Mytilus edulis: one gene and its partner. The protein of the gene in region 2 purifies or fractionates together with the protein of the main gene of each other region. This does not show direct contact. Links are inferred from orthologs where the notes say so. Each region holds a gene or a part of one and is shown on either strand. Other genes may lie near its edges.

Region 1 (10,224 bases), on a different chromosome or scaffold from region 2:
GGAAGTGAACTATCTAAGCACTTTAAACCTAACATATTTCAAGTTCTAACATGACGTCCTTCAAATGCTTTGAGTACACACCCGTGGTAAAATATGAATATTTTGTCAGGGCTGTTCTGATCGTACTCCCACGTCATATGCTTTTTTATGAATGATATTCTGACGTCATAGAACGATGACGGAAGAATATAAGCATTTTATGGGAAAATACACGCTTGTGAAACAGAAAATCATCACAACAAGGAAATGTAAACAAACGATGCTAAAATGTGGTATAAATGTGATATAAGTCATTTTTTTTAATACATACATTGTATATATATAAGACAAATAGTAAATTATCATTTAAATTCATCCAAAACTATCTAAATATGTCATGGTAAATAGTTTAAGCATGTCACTAATTCAGTTTGCTCAGTTCTTTTACGCCAATTTGATAGTCTATATTATTTTCCACTGCAAAACAATGTCTTCATTAAGATTAAAAACAAACAATAGTTTCCTTAACACTTCATTTCCAAAGACATTCATTATCTTGTCAAAGTTAATCAGGGTTAAGAAGCATAATAATTAATTGTTTTTTTAAACAAGTTATAACTAGTTATTACTGGTATTTTTTTCAAACAAAATGTCCTATCTTCATTATTTTATTATTCTATCAACCAAGGATGATTAATGTATAATATTTATTGAATCATTACAGTTTAAGGGTCAGTGTTCTTTGTTATTTGTATAGCTTCTAGAAATCAAGAAAAACAAAAACAGTCTGTTAATGAGGACAAGAGAAAATCAATAAAAGTCACTGTTTGTTTTTCTCTTATTATACAAATTCAATGCAGAAGATATAGAAAGAAGTATTAAATAAATATTTATGCAAAAAATCTTGCAGGAACCAAGGAGATCCTAAAACTTCCTTTTAATGTTGTTTTTCGATCTTAAATCAAACAAGGGGATCATACTTAATCATTTGTCTAGAGCATTTCTAATATAATGAAATTCAAAACAGTGTGGCTGTGGCCATTTATTGACACATTAAATTCATCCATTGACTGGAACAATTTACGTGAACGTTTGTCTTTAACGACCACTGTTCACGACGTACCTACGATAGACATTTAAACTGTGGGGTTACCAAAGGTTTCTTAACGCCTTTAATTATAAAATAATTCGAAAAAATAATCAGGAATAACCTTTATGTTTTGATTTATATAATTGTTATAAATCACCCGAATTACTTCATTGAGGTGTTGAGAACCTTTGGTGGCCCCATAGTTTAAGTGTCTTTAAAAAGTACATAGTGAGCAGTGGTCGTTACATACAAACCTTCACCTAAATTGTCCCAGTCAATGGATGAATTTAATGTGTCAATCAATGGCCACAGCCACACTGTTTTGAATTTCATTCTAAAGGAAATCCAGGTATGGATGCCCCAAATTTCTCAATAGTTATTATAATTTTTAATCATGTATATTATTTATATAGCATTATAATTCAGAAGTCTATTCATGTCCAGTGAATAGATTTAATTAAACTCTGAAATTTGACTTAAATACTAAAACAAATACCTGAATCACAAAGTTTTCAAAGATCACATATTTTACATTATTTCATGTGGGGCCTATATTGCTTACTATTATATATATGGTATGGGGCTGATTATTGTTGATGTTTATATGGTGAGATTGGTGACCTATTGTTGATGTTTATATGGTGAGATTGGTGACCTATTGTTGATGTTTATATGGTCAGAGTTGATGTTTATATGGTCAGATTGGTGACCTATTGTTGTTTACATAGATCTACACCATTAGGTCTCTGTTGGAAAGTTGTCTCATTGTTAATCAAACCTCATCTTTTAGTTCTTATAAAGAATCGTTTCAAATTAAAAGTATTAACATTTTGGGACAGGATGTCGCTTATCAACCATCAACATGACCTCTGAATATTGCAGATACAAGATATATATATAAGCCTATAATCATAAATGCAACATGCAATAGTATAATGACAACTTTCCTACTTTTGATTGGTTACATATATTTATGACAATAGTAACACCATTGTTTTACCTGTAATCTGTAAAAGAATGACTTTTTTGTTGTTGGTCACTTTGACTTCCACTTTGACTTCCCTAGTTTTACATTTCAGCTGACAATATTTTTAATAACTAAAGCACATACATACTTCAGGGCATAAAGATTACCATTTCCTGTTTCTCAGGGAAAGTAAATTATTACATGGGAACTGACATTCCAGTTAATACATTTTTTGTAATATCCCGTTGGGAAAGTCCTTTTCTGGTAAATAAATAAAATAATTTGTCCCTATTACTTGTTTAAATTTCAAAATATGTTAAACCCCTAAAAAGTATGCACAGATTGCAGGATTTTGCATCCTAAATTTCAAAATTTTCTTCCGGGGCCCAAAACTCCCACTTTGCTTGTCTCAACAGGAGATAGTGGAATTGCAAACAGGAAATTGATTTTTTTTATCACTTTTCCTGGGGTAAGTGGCCTGCCAAAATAATCTTCATGCCCTGATACTTACCTCTTGAACAGAGTTGAACACAGGAAGTCCAAGATGTTTCTGTCCTCCTTTTCCTGGAGACACACCTCCAACCATTTTAGTGCCATATTCAATAGCTTGCTGACTGTGAAATGTTCCCTTTAATATAAAACAACATTTTCAGCAATTTTTAATCACATTTTAAGCTGTATTAAAGCCCTTTTGTTAACCACACACTAAAAGTTGAAAAAAATGTACATGACTGGTCATTTCATATCAACTTTTCTATACTTTTTTGATACTGTAAATTCTAAAATTATTGCGTGCATTTATCAGTTTATAATTGCAATTTTGTCATTTTGGACTAAAATGCAATTTTAATTTTTGCAATACATTGTATTGAGAAAAATCCTGTTTAATTTATATAAAAAATTTCAAAATGGGAGTTTAACATGTTTAATAACCCTATTGCATTTTTCGCAAATGATAAAAACATTGCAACAATTTCTGAATGTTACAATATCTTATATTTCTTGTCTTTAATCTTACTATTAAAGGTCATAGGATGCATATCTTTTACATTGTACTAGTAAGTGAAAAAAAGATATAATTGAATGGATTGGCTTTCAAATTTATAAAATCTGAAGCGCAGAGCATCTATTTTACTATATATACATGTACATGCTGTATAATAATCATATGTATTCTCTCTTCATCTGCTATTGTGTACCTATAGCTACTGTGTGAAGTTTCATTGGTATTCCTCAAAATAATATGAGAACCTGTTGAACGTTCAAGAGGGAAATTCAATTGCATTTCAACTTATATAAATATATATCCCTTTTTCCTTCTTCATATCTTTGTGGATCTCAGAAAACAGAAAACAAAATCTAATTGTAATTCATCAAACTCAGTTTTTTGATAAAATACAAATTGTAGATAGTTTTACCTGTTTGCCTGTAAATCCTTGGCATATGACTTTTGTATTTTTGTTGACCAGCAGGTTAGGTCGTGAGTTGGTGTAACAGTGTCTGATTCCTACTCTGCCAATAGCTGTATAAAGATAAAATATAAATCAAACTGCCATCTTCTGTGGAATTACCTAGATAGTTGATAGTTAGAATATACACCTTTAGTTAGAATATACATTTTGTACATCTTCAACCAGTTTACATGTATCCCAATGGGAAACTTTGTCTTACTGACAAAATGTCAGACAAACACCAAATTAGCCAGACGGAAATTTTAAAATATTCTAGTTGACATGAAAAAAGTAGAAAGGATCAAATTTCTAAAAAAAAATATAAAACAGTTTAACACCAACAGAATTATGGAATATTACTAAAGTTTAATACTGTACATGTTCTACTATAATATATTGCAAATAAAATTAAAATGAAAATCGACATTAATGCATTTATCACTTAATTAACAACAGTGCCTTTTCTTGTTACATTCAATGATTCTTTATTGTATTTCTTCAACAAAATTCTTATAAAGTCTTGGTCACATTAAAAATTTCTTTAAATATCAGTAAATATTCAATTAATGATTTCTATTATCATTGAATTTGTTGTGGAAAACGTTCTTGATTTTTTTTTTAGGATTTCTAACAACCAATGATCAAATTGGCAGTCTCTTCACCAGTGGCATATCCAGAGAAGGGTTCTGGGTTTGTTTGTTTTTTGCCCTGAACATGCTGAAATTTGGGAAATAAAAATTAAAAAAATCTGTTCATAATTAGTAATTACAACAATAAACACCACATAATGTCAATGTGCATCAGCAACTCATTTTTTCAGTTTATTCCTTTTGCATGTGCAGATTTTACGAGAGACACCCAAGCTATGGTTTACCTATTTGTCCTCATTTATGAAGCTAATGAAGAATCCTTTTTTTTTTTATTTCAAAACATGTATATTATACCAAAAAAAATGATTTACTAATCTTATCTATGTAAAAATAAGCCATGACCTTCTAAATAAAACAAATAATTCAGTTTAGGAAAAAAATCTATAATGTATAATTCTTTTTCAATACTGAATAGCTACTTATATATGTGGAGTTCTTCTTTTTTCGCAGGTAGCATTTGCCTTATATTACACGATTCTGTGTATAATATCACTTATGAGGTTTTTAACCCACCCTTTCAAGTTTGAACAGAAAAATTATTTGATTTCTATGATTTTCACAAGTGTCTGTGATGTTTAACTCCAGCATGGTCAAACACAATGCCAGTTTTCGTATTGATTTCACAACACATGTTTAAGAAAAGATTTTTTATAAGATGAAACATGAACAGGAGGAGATTAATTATGTTATTTACCAGAAACTTTGCCAAGGACTTTTCTGGCAGTCGACATCGTGAAAAACCGGAAGCTAGTAAAGCTAAATAAAATTTTCTCTACACCGGATTAGTGATGTTCTGATTTCGGATTCTATTCAGCCTTCTGCCAGCCCCGCCTACAAACGCAAGTGGATAGTAGGGACTGGCTTTTATCTGACTGATTTTTTTTTCGTGTATAATTCCACATAATAAAAGCAGTATTCTAATATGACGTGCTTTGTATACCAACCCATGCTCGAAATCCAATAAAATGTGTTTACACATGCGTATATTGGAAATTGAATACCCGGAAAAATGATTTTACTTTTAAACTTTTAAATGATGCACATGTTGTAACTAATACACATACAATGATTCGCAATTGACATATTTGACCTAAATGGGCGTTTTTCAATAAAAACGTAAATTCTTGTCCCAGCCACTTTTAAAAGAATGTGTCAGTTGTTCTTTAAAAGAAGTATTTTTTTTGTGCAGTCAGTCCATTCCAGTAATTCAATTAATATTATGAGATTTGACAATTTTAAGCAAAGAAACATACTATTTTTAAAGGGATTAATAAGATATTTATTCCTGAATGGTTCTAAATAACCAAAATGGCATGTCCCTAGACCCCCTGTTCAATATGTTCAACATTCACACTCTAAAATATTGTAAAAAAGGTAGAAATGAATTTTATTTTTTACTTTTAATAGAAGTTCTTTAATTATTCAAAAGTATGTGTATAGCCAACATATTTTAATAAAAAGAACTTTTAACAATGGATTTTTAGAAGGTGTATCCCTGACAAAATGTCTACTACGAAACGAAGTCATTAAATTTTGCTAATAAACATGATAAAAAGTTCTATAAAATCAATGTTTGCAAGAGATATAAACATTAGGGTCTTACAAAAGAAGTGATGCTTTTAAAACGGCAGTTAAATCGTTGGCAAAAAAAATTGAGCACATCAAATGGACCAGAGTGATACCGTATTTTACTGAGTTAATGTCCACTACGAAACGGGTCAAATCTCCTTCAGTATCTGGTTTTAAAATTATGAAAACAATATCAGTGTACAGCTTAGTACGTGCTTTGGTGAATAGATTCATTCTTGTTACTATTGCAATATAGGGATTTGGGGGGGGGGGGGGGGGATACAACATGTGAATATGTCCACTACGAAACGGTCACCTACGAAACAAGTATGGGAGAAAAACGTTTCGTAGTGGACACTACCACTACCATGCAGTCGTTTTTTTACTCTTTTTTCAATTATATTTGTGCCGGCAAAACAAATAACAAGAGTTAGTTTCATGTAATTTTCAGTATTTTTTATCAATATAGGATAGGGTTGATGTCATTTACGAAACTTTTTGTCCACTACGAAACTCATCAAAATGTCCACTACAAAACATGAGCTGTACCTTCATATGTGAAGTACTGTCTAATCTCATAAGTTATCGATTAAAATGGTTCTCCAATTCCGAAAAAAGGGAGATTGTTCTAGTATATAAAGTAAAACAAACTGGATGTCTATAAGAGACATTAAAATGCAATAAGATGTGCGTTTAGAAGCAGTTTTATAGTGGACAAATGTCCCCTAGGAAACAGTACATAAATTATGAAAATAAAATCATTTTAAAGAGTATTTAAGATTGCATTTTTTATATAAAAACATGTCCATAATAGAGATATTCAAAATAACTCTTGAAATAAAATTTTGGACAATTTGATTTTCCATTTTTTTATGTCTGAAATTCATTTTTTATTGAAAAACGCCCAGATACGGCAACGTTTCATTCAACTTGTTCAAAACTTGATCATGACCTCCAAAGAAGAAGACGTTAAATTATAACTTTTCTGTTATATTGTGACACGAATATTGTTATTGTTAATAAATGTGTTAACTTCTTTTACACTGATTTTAAATTTGACAATTACAACTTTGCACAATTTTAACTAAACTGTGGATCGAACTAACTATTTAGAAGAAAACTGTCTATGGAAGTCAAGAGCCTACACAAACTCCCTACACTTGCACACATCGAAAATAGAAATTACTGTAATTGTCCTAATCCGAATCGAAATAATTGACGCAAACTATACTTTATTGTAGTTTTAACAGGGGTAGACATTATATTCGTGGTAATTGGCAAAAATAATAACGAATATAATGCTTACTTAAAATTTCAATAAAGTATAGCTTGCATCAATTGTTACTAGAGCGTGTACATCAGTCAAAAATTAAACTATCTACAGTCGGTTCAAATTAATTAATCCATCAATATCTTTTTGCCGATTAGTTGTATATTGGAATATGAGGGAATATGTATAATGCTATCGTGTCGTTATATAAGTCAGTAGAGTGCTGTGTTCGGATAAATGGACAATTAACGGACTGGTTCAATGTCCAATGTGGTCTAAAACAAGGTTGTTTGCTCTCACCATTACTTTTTGATGTGTATGTGAACGGTCTTGTTACGTATATATGTTCATTAAATGCTGGAATAAATATTGACGAGGAAAACGTGTCGATTCTACTTTACGCTGACGACCTTGTTTTGTTAGCTGGCTCGGAATCAGACTTGCAAGTTTTGCTAGATGGGCTTCAGCTCTGGTGTGCAGAGAATAAGAATAAAAAGTCAAACGTTGTTCATTTTCGACCAAATTCGACCCCAAGGACAATAAACAGTTTTAAATGTGGCGACCTTGACATAAATGTGGTGGAAAAATATACATACATAGGTTTAGTGTTAACGGAGCATTTGGACTATCAAATTATGGCGAAACACGTAGCAGCATCCGCCAACCGTGCCTTGGGACTAGTGATATCTTAATATAAATCCTTTGGAGGACTACCGTTTGATTCTTTCACAAAATTGTATGACTCGATTGTTTGGAGTACAATCAGCTACGGAGCGGCAGTGTGGGGTGATAGAACATTTTCATGTATAAATTCGATACAAAATAAGGCAATTCGTTTTTATATGGGAGTCGGACGGTATACACCTAATGTAGCAGTGAATGGAGATTCAGCCTGGAAACCCGTGACCTTGTGTAAGGCAGTGGCGAACTGTTATAAATCATTGGAATCGTTTAAGGTATATGAACACTGATCAACTTAATAAAAGAATTCATAACTGGGCGGAACATAAGTTTTAGGCGTTATAAAGCATGTAAAAATTCAAATTATAGACTTTATCAGCAGTTTGAATCATGTAATATTAGTGACTGGTATAATGACACGAACATTCACAAAACTACGGTGTTAGCGAACTAGTGTGGATCTAGCCGGCGTTAATATTCATGATGCTAGCCGTCAATAATATTCATGAGATCAAAACCGCGTTCGATGAAATGTTTTGGGTAGTTATTAGATTGTGACAATAAAATAACTTTTGCTGTTAATATCCAATATGGTTATGCTATTTATAGCAATATAAAGTAATTAGGAAATAGTAAGCCAATAGGTGTCTTCTGCAAGGTCCGCGTCATTTAAAATGAAAGTAAATGAAAAGTTTAATTGCATTGCCTCACACAACACAAAACAATTATGAACATTAAAATGTTGTTATTATTGAATCAATGTAAACTATAGTAATTAAAACAAGATGATTAAATATAGGGTAATTAAATGGAATTAATTGTCATATGGGCATTCCATAATCTGTTCGTTGTCTACAAATATAGTCCAATTCTAAAACTAAAATATACAATACATACGATAGTATCACACAATTAAAAAGATCAGAAAAACAAGAAACATAGTTTGTTGAAGGAATATAATAAACAGAAAAATAGAAACTGTCAATTACTATTTCAATGACATAATTCTTCAAAATTACGGAGATCAATAAGAGTCTTTAATCTCAACATTACCAGTCCATTTAATTGCCTCTAAAATGTCCCATAGCACTTATGCCCTAGACCCGTACGAGTTAGTCAGAAAAGGATAAGGGGGTACCCTGGTATATCACAAATTCGAAAATGAACTATTGCCGGCTGGCCAAACGAAGAGATTCTCCACTTGGGCAATGATACCAGAGGAAGAGGTACTTATTGCCTTTAAAATGGCCCATAGCACTTATACCCTAGACCCGTACGAGTTTGTCAGTAGAGGGTTCAAAGGGGGGATATGGTATCCCGGATACAACGAATTCGAACTGAACTATTGCCGGCTGGCCAAACTAAGAGATTCTCCACATCGGCCATTATACCAGAGGTAGAGGTTGGTATTGCCTCTAAAATGGCCCATAGCACTTATGCCCTAGACCCGTACGAGTTAGTCAGAAAAGGATAAGGGGGTACTCTGGTATATCACAAATTCGAAAATGAACTATTGCCGGCTGGCCAAACGAAGAGATTCTCCACTTGGGCAATGATACCAGAGGAAGAGGTACTTATTGCCTTTAAAATGGCCCATAGCACTTATACCCTAGACCCGTACGAGTTTGTCAGTAGAGGGTGTAAAGGGGGGATATGGTATCCCGGATACAACGAATTCGAACTGAACTATTGCCGGCTGGCCAAACTAAGAGATTCTCCACATCGGCCATTATACCAGAGGTAGAGGTTGGTATTGCACTTATACCCTAGACCCGTACGAGTTTGTCAGTAGAGGGTTCAAAGGGGGGATATGGTATCCCGGATACAACGAATTCGAACTGAACTATTGCCGGCTGGCCAAACTAAGAGATTCTCCACATCGGCCATTATACCAGAGGTAGAGGTTGGTATTGCCTCTAAAATGGCCCATAGCACTTATGCCCTAGACCCGTACGAGTTAGTCAGAAAAGGATAAGGGGGTACCCTGGTATATCACAAATTCGAAAATGAACTATTGCCGGCTGGCCAAACGAAGAGATTCTCCACTTGGGCAATGATACCAGAGGAAGAGGTACTTATTGCCTTTAAAATGGCCCATAGCACTTATACCCTAGACCCGTACGAGTTTGTCAGTAGAGGGTTCAAAGGGGGGATATGGTATCCCGGATACAACGAATTCGAACTGAACTATTGCCGGCTGGCCAAACTAAGAGATTCTCCACATCGGCCATTATACCAGAGGTAGAGGTTGGTATTGCCTCTAAAATGGCCCATAGCACTTATGCCCTAGACCCGTACGAGTTAGTCAGAAAAGGATAAGGGGGTACTCTGGTATATCACAAATTCGAAAATGAACTATTGCCGGCTGGCCAAACGAAGAGATTCTCCACTTGGGCAATGATACCAGAGGAAGAGGTACTTATTGCCTTTAAAATGGCCCATAGCACTTATACCCTAGACCCGTACGAGTTTGTCAGTAGAGGGTGTAAAGGGGGGATATGGTATCCCGGATACAACGAATTCGAACTGAACTATTGCCGGCTGGCCAAACTAAGAGATTCTCCACA
Region 2 (10,855 bases):
TTTAAAATGATTAATTTAATCATTAGTGTAATAATATTATCACTTCTAGACTGAGCTAATAGAATTTTGATAGTGCAACTGCCTCTTGAATAACTCCTGTTTACACTTTAATATTGAATCACTGCAGCTGATTGTCTATATATATATATATACAATGTCCATAGCAATGAATGTGTTGTGTAGCGTTATTTACCCTTATCTGCGCATCTATTACATAGTTGTCGCAACAATCTATTTTTGTTAAATTGAAAATCAGAAATGTTGTTTTGTTCTAAAAATAGGGTACTGAAAGGGTCCCTCTTGATTGAAAGTTTCCGTTGCTTAAGGTACATGTGGTGATGAAAACATTTCAATATTTTCTGTCTTTATCAAATTAGCGTTAGCCATATCGTCATAATTATTTTCGTACTTCTCAGGATTTAACAAACCACTTAGCAATGAATTAAAACGAAAGTAAATTTCCAGGGTTAAAATTTTTTGTTACAGCTAATGCATGGCTTACTAGCCCAGGACTTATAAGCAGCTCAGTATTTTACTAGCCCTGATGTACATATCTAAGCCAAGGGATAGCAAAAATATTAGCCAATTAAACGAATTAGGGGAGGTATATATCAAGGACAGTGCAAGATAACGGTTAATTCAGGAAACAATGCTGACCAGAATGTTCTAGTTTAAACCTTTTCCATGTGTATCAGTGGTCTCGCTAGCCCAAAATAGAAGGGCGCCGCGCCCTGGGTGCCCTCAGCTGCACCCTGGGTGCCTTCATCCGCGCCCTTCTGCCCTGACGTCTTTTTCCAAAATTATCTTGTGCCGTTTTGGTAAAATTTTGTTTCATCGATTTCTGATCTCCAAGTTAATTACATATATGACACCTGTGTGATTGCCCCCAGGTTAATCATTTTATTACAATCAATTACAATGATAAAGACTTCAAAGGTGTTAATAACTAGGTAATTTAATTAGGACAATGTATCTTTTTGTCATACTTTTGATGAATGTGTCAGCGAGTGTGTTTAGCTTGGGTCGGCATTTTCGATCTCCAAGTCACAATGGAAGAGTGTATATAAATGAAGACTTTCATGACTTTAGAATTGAATTTAAGTCATCAAAATAAAACTATGCCTTTACAGAAATGCCTTCCATCTTAACTTGTTAGCGACAAGCACAGTTTTTAATTAACCCAAACGTGGTGGAAATTGATTTCGGAGTTACTTCCCCTGTTTTAGCTTATTACAAATTTGTGCTCTAAAAATATTATCTAGTACCAAAAAAGGGAATAAATTACCAATTGAATAATAATTTATAATAGCATAATCATGTTATCTTAAAGATATTAACTGTCTTTGAACATATTAAAAAATATATATTGCAATTTCTACTTGATAATTATACTTTTAGCAATCCATGTTCTAAACATTGTTAAATTAGTAATGCTCTCTGTTTCAGTTCATATGATGTTTTCAAAGCTATAATTCCTATATAGATAAAAAAAAACAACAAAAAAACAAAAAAAAACACATATTCTTTGATAATTGGTAGAGTGAAGTTGAACTGTAAAAACATAATATGTTGATGAAGATGTACCATATCAATCATAACTACACAAACAATGAAATAAAGACTATAGTTGAAAAGCATCTTTATTTAAAAAAAACAACATATACAATAAAAAAAACAAAGAGATTCGTTAACTCGTGATACACACAGAAACTTAGACAAAAAAATGAGCAGTGCCTTTTCTTATCATAAAAAGTGCCCTGCCCTCCACTGGCACCCTGCCCCTTTTGATTTCTAGCTAGAGCACTGTGTATCAGTGTTCTAGGATTCCCATTACCCGTTACCCGGGGTAAGTGGATTAGGACAACGGGTAAGTCATTTTTTAGCCTTTGTCACCCGGTGGTAAGTCAATTTTCAAGTTCGGGGAAGCCGAAAAACTCTTGAAATTTCCCGGTCCTCTTCAATTTTCCCATATCTGCTTTTTATTTTTATTAAATCACGAGAAAAAACTTTGATAAAAGATCGAAGATTTTGTCGATGTCTATCGGCGCTTTTATTCAAGCACTCGTTTACTAGGTGTAATCAAGCGCAAAAGAGACCACATTCTTCACCTATCATTCTAAAAGTCGGTCACGGTGTCGGTAAAATCGGAAAATCCGGATTGATAACTGGTGCTAAAATCGGGACATAAACGATTTTTTTTCTTGTCATCGGAGGAAAATAAACTTACAGTTGCATTTATTATAACTCTTAATAAATGACATAGTAATAACTATAACATATTTGTCAAATTTAGTAAGAAATCGTTTTTTTTTAAATTTTGTACAAAATTCAATCGTATCCGAATCCAGCTTTGTTCAGACAAACTTCACAACATATAATTTAAAGCATGTCATAAAAGTTTTTTGAGCGGCCCCCAGACCCCCGGCCATAAGGGCGGCGAGCTTTGCGCCGTCCGCATTGGTTGGCGGATTAAACTTTTAGATGTGGGTAAGTAATTTTTTTATTGATCTTACCCGTGGTAAGTCAAGGTGCCAAAAAAATCCTAGAACACTGTGTATGTTTACATTTTTAGGTATCGGGATCGTTCGCCCTGATTACATGTTCGCCCTAGGTTTGTTCGAACTGAGTTTGTTTGCCCTGATAGTCTGTTCGCCCTGGGTTCGTTTGCCCTATATTATGATATAAATATCTATATATGTTACATCAATGAACAATATATATATATATTAAAATTTATGTATATCTATTAAAAGTTAAATACAGAATATTTGCCAAATTTATATTAATTAAATAACATTCTTGGCTGCATTGTTACACTTTATTTTATAATTACTTTTAATTACTGTTGATTGAATTTTGATTGCTGATTAGGTGTCATTTGATACCTTTGATATCACTGATTGTTATATGAATTGTCTATAAAAAAATTAAAAAAAAGGATGGGTAAAAACACTGATGACAAGTGATCATGTACAGCAGTGTGACTGCGTTTTTGGTATTTGTTTCACTAATAGTAATTCTATTTAGTGCTTTTAAATATTCGTTTAGGAAATAAATGTGTGTGAAGTACAGTTCGGAATTGATCTTGTTATAACTGTTACTGAATATTTTTAAATTGTTAAAATGTATCAAGAAAGTTAAATATATGAATAACTTAGTCATGTTAGTCTTTAGTGTTTTATGTCAAATACTTTGTAGTCTTTGAATTCACAGAAACTTATCCTCGTAGCAGCAAGACAACAACTTTGTCTTCAGTTGTTTTACATTTAAAAATACAATGTAGTGCTGAAATTCACAGAAACTTATATTTCCTAGTAACGTAATTACATACAGATACAAACTTAGTCCTCAATACCTTGAAGTCACAATATCTTGTAGTCCTGAAATGTACTGAAACTTATAACTTAGTATAGCAGCTAGCTTTAGACAAGTTAATATGATACATCGTAAATATTCGGCGAAATTGTAGACTGACTTCAACACATTCAATTATATACACACAACGCAACACTATACTAAAAAATAAAATCAGGGCGAATGGACTCGGGGCAAACAGGTATTAGGGCGAACAGAAACTAGGGCGAACCAGAATCAGGGCGGACGGACCCGGATTCACATTTTTATAGTGACTGGTCACCTTATCGGCTTGTAGCCAATTACACGAATTAGGGGAGGTATATATCAAGGACATTGCGAGATTAATTCAGAAAACAATGCTGACCAGAATGTTCTAGTTTAAACCTTTTCCATGTGTATGTTTACATTATTATAGTGACTGGTCACCTTATCGGCTTGAAAGTCAAAACTTGGTAATGTTGATAGATGCTATAAAGTGTAATTTTGTTGAAGAACATAAGCAATCAGGCACCTGATATAATCAAATATATATATATTGTGTTGGAAAATAAATCAGATCTCATTGACATTTACTTTATTCCACAGTCTTTGCAATAAACCGTGTCTAACTGACGTTCTTATCATTTTCATGGGCGCAGCCATTTTTCTCGAAAAGAAACTCAAACTCTCGCGATACTTCGAACTTCTTTTGTACAAACAAAATAGTCCTATGATTATCAGCAACACGATTGTTATTGCCGTCAAAAAAATGAAAAAACATACAAATTCTGCTCATTAAAATTAGTAAGTTTTTGAATTGATGATACTATATCTTATTTATTATCGCTTAACAATAAGTCTAAATTCATCCGCAATACTTTCTTCTGTTCATCCTGGGACTTACAAGATTTTCATCCTGGCTCTTCTTTGATCACCCGTACGAAAACATTGTAAAATGTCAAAACCACGTGTTTATCAGCTGTAATATTGTGTGCTTTTACATTTTCAAGTTCTGATAAATGAAATGATTCCGTGGCTTACAAAATCTAAATAAATCAATATCAATATGTTGACAAAATTATAAAATCAAAACAAATCTGTTTATGAGTGCATAAAATCACTTTCAATCATAAATTTTTATAAACTCAACTGCATTGTTTAAATTATTAATTGGAACATTTGTTAACATGTATAAATAATAATTATCTGTAATATTTAAAAGCGCCATTGTAATAAAAGAGAGAGGCGAAAGATACCGAAGCGCCATTTAAACTCATAAGTCATTTTGTAAGTCACAAAAAATAAATACACCTTAATATCGCTTTTTGTCCCCCATTAACGGATATCAAACAGGTCCCCGTAAAATTTTGAAGTCATAAAACAAAATGTCTGACACCACAATGGACAAGTGATTGTTGTATGAGGTCAGAAGTTCAAGCAGCTGGGAATAGCGATATAGGGTGTATTGTCAACGCATGGCTAAAAAAGAAAAAAAAGACTGACAAACAATTAGTTCACAGAACACAACATAGTACTAAAGACTGAACAACATGATCGTCACAAAAAACTGGAGTTGATCTCATGTGCTCTGGATGGGTAATTAGCAGATCCACACATCTGTCTGTATATATTTCGTATGCAGGCACTGCTGGAATGTTGCTACATGTACATAGAAATTGAAAGTTCACAATTGGGAAGCTGAAATCATCCCTTTTGTCCTTAAGTTTTGTAAACAACCAAACCTGCCGTCAACAAAGCCAAATTTGTACTGTGTAGAACATATTAAAATAGATCCAGACATGATTCTCGCTACATTGAAGACCCATTGGTTGCCTTTGGCTGTTGTTTGCTCTATGGTCGGGTGGTTGTCGCTTTGACATATTCACCATTTCCTTTCTCAATTTTATGACAACATATTAAACAAATGAAAAAGAAAACCTACTATGGCAGATAATTGCAACAATCTTTATGAAATTGATATATTTGAATAATAATTAATTTGATTATATTTATCATATATTTTTCATACATTCCACAATTTAAAGCAACATAGACATGATAGAGGAGGAGGAAATGTCCTATTGACATTTTACTCCTATATGTACAAATGTAGATGGGTTTTTTGGCTTGAAAATTGTAACAACCTTAACAACTTTGGTTTTATATTCTTATGGTACAAAATACTTTATTTTAAAAGAAATCTAACATATTATATCATACCTAAAAATACTACTGTATTGTATCCTTATTCCTTAACCATGTTAACTAAAAAAAAATGCTAGTGCATTTTATCCATGATAGTAAAAATAGTAGAGTTATTTTTAAACTTGAGTGGAAAACACTAGACTAGTATAATTATTAATACATGTAATTTTCTCCAAATGAAAAATGCATGTCCTCCATTTTTATAGATTACCTTCAACATGCTCTATTATACATTTTGTATTTGTCTTTCTAGAATTGCTAGTAAATCAATAAGGGTAAAATTCGGGAGGATGATTTACACTAGGATATTTTAACCTGTGGAAAGCACCAGCTATTTGTTAATAAGTGACACTGTTTACTGTCACATATACTCTCAGTTACGGAAAGACACCATGTAAGGATCTTTTTGAATTCTAACCAAAATAGATGTACAATGTATTATGGAGAAGCAGGAGATTATAAATGTATTAATTTCATTATCTTAAAAAATGAATGAAAACACAAATCTTTACCAAATTCAAATTTCCATTGATTTTCATAATTGATTTCTATATATATATACACTGAATTTGAAAATCCAAGATAAAAAATATATTTAAGATATGGCATTATAGATAATTAATGAATCTTTATATTGCAGGTGTTTTTTATGGAGACAGCAAATCAGGAAACTTCAGAACCAGTTGTACAAGAAATATGTACAAACGGAACATCAGAAATACAATATAATGAACAACATGACCTAACACAGTCTACAACGTCTATAGAAGATGTTACAATCAATGCAAATTTACAAGGAGAGGCCATTGACAATGGTGATGAAGGGGAGACAATTCACAAGACTCATCTTTTGAAGATAGAGGTACCAGATGGGGAAGCAGATTTAGAACAAACAGATGTAGCTGTTGAGGAATGGAAGGACATAGAGAACATTGTTGACATGGATCCATCTTCAACAGCTGGGTTCCTTATTCTGTCAAAAGAAGCTGCTGGTAAGTGAAAATTACACTGAGGGGTCAGGGTGGTAGGCACGGTCTCAAAATATGATTTTGGGTACAGACAGATGTGAGACTGGTATTTTAAAATAAAAAAATCATAAATATGTACATTGCATTAAAATCTTGAGAATCTGAGATTTAAAACTAAGATGTCTCAGATTCTTAATTTGTAAATACCTGGTGAAAAAATACTGATCTTTGGTAGGAAAACTGACAATCCTAGTCAATAAAGCATGGAGTCAGGCACACAAAATTGCAATTCATTGTTTTGTTTTACATTTAATAAAAAAAATAATCTGTTCCACCCACACATCTTAGTATACAGTCAGATTAGAGGAGTCCCCCTATAATATCATTGCTTAAGTTTTGTTTAAAACATTATATGGTTCTTATATAATTTTAGCATCCCTTGGAATGGATTCTATTGAAAATACTCAAAATGGAGATGAACCTGCAGCCAAAAGATTTCGTATTGAAGGTGGTGATGGCCAGTCTTATGTGCTATCTGTGGCTCCAGGTAGATGTATATATGAATAGCCAAAAAGTGCCTAAAAATAGCAACACATGACATACAACACTATGAGAGTGTGGATTAATCAGTACAGAGACTAATTCAATTACAAAAATAAAATTATAGAGTGCCGAACAATCATTAACAATGTTATTTTAACACACGTAATAAATAATTTAGTATGTAAATATTAGAATGTTTAAAATATTTACAAAACATTAAAAATAGCTAAATATAGATATAGTTTGTTTTTTTTATAAATCTGAGTCAACTTTTCTCAGTGTTATGTTAAAATCATAACAAATAACTATACAAGTGCAGATTTTATACAGACAGTCATACATTTTTTCTACTATCTTTCTTACATTTGTGTTTTACAACATATGTACCTTCGAATTCTATAAGACAGCATCAAAACAACGCAAAATAACCAAAAACAGACATTTAAAAGAAGTACCATATATATATAGCATTTAAGACATTTCATTTCTGTTACAGAGGATACTTTGACAACTGATGAAACCATTGTAGAAAAAGTGGAAACAGTTCAGGTAAATTTAATGATGTATAAGGTGGAAAAAAATAATTTGATAGGCATACAAATTTAACATGGGAGAGAAGGAGAACAGTCTTTCTTTTCCCCCAGATTTCGATGCAAGTTAAAAAAAAAAAAAAAAATACCAAATTTTCAAGTTCTCAACTTTTCTTTGACTTTTTAACAAACTTCAGAAAGAGTAAAGAGGGTTGTTCATAGTGAAAATGTCCTGTGAACCATTTTTGTTTTATTATGCAAGGAACAGTTCACTAAACTATAATAAATGAACTTGCAATAATTTGAGATTTGAAATAACCTTTTTGTCTGTAAATGATTGAATTAGATAAGTTAAATTAATCATAAGATAAGTATCATAATTTTATCGTGTATCTGATTCACAGTATTTCAATATAATTTTTTAAAAATAAGTTTGTTTTATTTTCCGGAATCCATTTACTCCATGTACATGTATGCAGAACCATGTGTTTTCTACTAAAAAATTTTTTTTTATTTATTTCAATAGATACTCTTTTATGTTTAAGGCAACCAATGGATCAGTCTTATTGAGTGCAGGAGATGCTGGAGGCCCTAAACAGTCAGGTTCTGGGAACAGAAAAGCTTTAGAAAGCTCAGATATTTCTCAGGCTTGGTTCACAACTAGAGATGAAAAGGATGCTCTTCATAGCAAGGGTATACACATTAATGAAGCATATGAATAAAATAAGATTTGAGGGAGAACTTCATTGAAATAACAATTCAATAATGATAAAACACAAAAAAAGATATTTGACATAAGGATACAGTCTAAATGGTTTATGAAGTATCAATAATTATATTATCTTTTAACAATTTGGGACAAAAAAGATGTTATTTGAAAAATAGTCTAAATTTAAGTTTGAGGTGATCTTGAAACAGCTTCCCTTTGAGATGATCTTGAGTATTTCTGACTATTGGAAATGCAATATATAACAGATTGAAACTCTTATCAAAACACACTTTTAAAAGCAAAAATCATAGTTTTACTGAATAAGGTGCACTTTGATTTTATTGATTTTTTTTAATATGTCTTTAAAGGTGCAACATGGAAACAAGGACAGTGGACAAAGGAAGAAGTTGCTGTATTACAGCAGAATATTAACAGTTATTGTGCAGTAAATATTTATAAATACTATGTAGTTAAACTTTGACCTTTATTGGGGATGAATTTAGAGATAACTGTATTGTATTTGAAGCTTTAAGGACGTCCATCGGTAGTTTTACTGTCGCAAATTTAGTTTACATGGCAACACGTAGTAGAGACAGGTAAACAGGTATTTGCCACAGTAAAACTACCGATGGACGTCCGAAAAGCTTCAAATACAATACAGTTATCTCTATTCTAATGCAAAACAAGTTCATAATTAAATTCCAATAATTATTTCAGTGTAAAATCTTCATTAAAGAAAATTCCACGAAAAGATGTTATCTTCTTTGGTCCCTACATTAGGTGACGTCATAGGTATGCTTCCAGCGTCAAACATAAACACCAGGAGTTTCTGGCTTCTTTGCCGCTTCAGAATGTAATGAAATTTTATAAAAAGAAGATTTGTAGGTGCGACATGTTAGTTTTTTGGCTTTTTATTGTAGAAATTACATGTCAATACATTCAGCAATTCAAAATGTCGGCTACCTTAGTTACAGACAAGGAGATAGAGAATTTTACGCTAACTGTCATCCAATCAGAACCATTGATACAAAATAATTGCATTAGAATAGATAATAGCTGGATTTCAAAGTTTGAAGTTCTGGATTATTTTCTTGATATATTAGACAACATTTGTTTTACTGACACACATTTTATTTCAAATGTTGTAACTCACTGCAAGGCTTTCTAAAATGTATGTAACACTGTATTTCTTTGTTGAGCTCTGTCCGAAAACCAAAAATTAATCAACCAAATTCTATGAATTTTCACAATAACACTTTTAAAATTGTAACTTTCATATGATGTCATAAATACTTGTCTACCTGTTCTTAAAGGGAAACTTCGCAAAAAAATCAAAAATTGATATTATGTTCATTCTGTATAAAAATGTTCAAATTCATAGATATTAAAGTTTTATTCCGCTAGATAAGCGATCACCATCGATTTTAAATTTAGAGTATCAATTCTCCGAGATCCGCCATCTTGTCTTCTTTCCCGATGAATAAAAACGATATGTCTATAAACCACAAAGAAACAAAACTACAGTAACCGATGTAGTCGTAATTGCGTGTCGATATCTTGTCAATCGTACGGTTGTTTAATACGACTAACTAACTTGATACGGAAAATATTCTTACTTTTTTTAAATTACCATGGTCTGTTGTTTTTAAACTGTTGATATTGGAATTAGGTGAAAAGTCAAAGTTGAAATCATAAATAAGTGTTCCGTGAAAATTGTTTTCGAAAATCTAATTTGTTCATAATTCTTTAAAGTAATAAACTTTTTTCAAATATATTTTGATCTTCCCTTATCTGATCACCAACATGGCTAAAGGTATTACTTCCAAAGGTATTGTGAGGGGTGTGAGGTGACACGTCCAGGTATTCAAGCGATTTCCTGTCGGGCTTGCAAGTTCATGCATCGTTTCACTTCTGCAGGTATTGATCAGTGTACACGGCTGATAACTTATAACTTATAACTTTCCATTTTGAACTATCAGATGTATAATATACAACTCTGTCTTACTTGTCATTACTAAACTCATACGCTTGTTTATAAATAACATTTCTGGTGTAAAGAATATAATTCATAATATATAAATAATACCCAAAAAATAAGATTTGATGAAACTAAAATCTATTTAAATATTTTTTCCAAGGGTGAATTTGGGAAAATGTAATATATAGTCATTGTCAATAGTGAAGGACAGATTGGAACAGACCAGAAATATTGATTTAAAAAAATGTACGCACTTGCCGACGATTCGTTTATACGACTGGATATAAAGTTACGGAACTATAGCGCAATTTAAAATATATACGTGTATACATTGAACATAAGAAAAAAACATATATTTTGAATAAATAGGGGTAAAAGTGTTGTAAATAGACTAGCCAACGTATGCCAACAGTATGTAATCATCGAATGTCGATAGACTACAGTTGTATACCAAAAGAAGAAGAGAACCAATTTGATTTAAATACAGGTCGATGTATAACGTTTGCTTTGGTTCATTGAAGCTGTGGACCTAGGAAAATCACAGATTTATATTTCAATAAGATTGTTCTCAAACAAAGGAAGGAAT

The links. The genes of interacting proteins can lie anywhere in the genome.
Region 1: the proteins of succinate--CoA ligase [GDP-forming] subunit beta, mitochondrial-like (region 2) and succinate--CoA ligase [ADP/GDP-forming] subunit alpha, mitochondrial-like fractionate together in Homo sapiens (co-fractionation; 6 studies listed by BioGRID and IntAct, counting the BioPlex papers as one, with this or other methods). This does not show direct contact. The link is inferred for Mytilus edulis from reciprocal best matches to the Homo sapiens genes SUCLG2 and SUCLG1.

Annotation. Positions count from the first base shown.
Region 1 is NC_092347.1:96,972,182-96,982,405, forward strand, and holds the start of succinate--CoA ligase [ADP/GDP-forming] subunit alpha, mitochondrial-like, read right to left. Parts: upstream 4,965-10,224; 5' UTR 4,869-4,964; coding exon 4,832-4,868; intron 3,559-4,831; coding exon 3,455-3,558; intron 2,665-3,454; coding exon 2,548-2,664; intron 1-2,547. UniProt on the Homo sapiens protein: Succinyl-CoA synthetase functions in the citric acid cycle (TCA), coupling the hydrolysis of succinyl-CoA to the synthesis of either ATP or GTP and thus represents the only step of substrate-level phosphorylation in the TCA.
Region 2 is NC_092344.1:74,495,475-74,506,329, reverse strand, and holds the start of succinate--CoA ligase [GDP-forming] subunit beta, mitochondrial-like, read right to left. Parts: upstream 4,048-10,855; 5' UTR 4,000-4,047; coding exon 3,931-3,999; intron 1-3,930. Other genes in the region: cyclin-D-binding Myb-like transcription factor 1, read left to right, coding at 6,191-6,533, 6,943-7,056, 7,549-7,601, 8,128-8,275, 8,660-8,736. UniProt on the Homo sapiens protein: GTP-specific succinyl-CoA synthetase functions in the citric acid cycle (TCA), coupling the hydrolysis of succinyl-CoA to the synthesis of GTP and thus represents the only step of substrate-level phosphorylation in the TCA.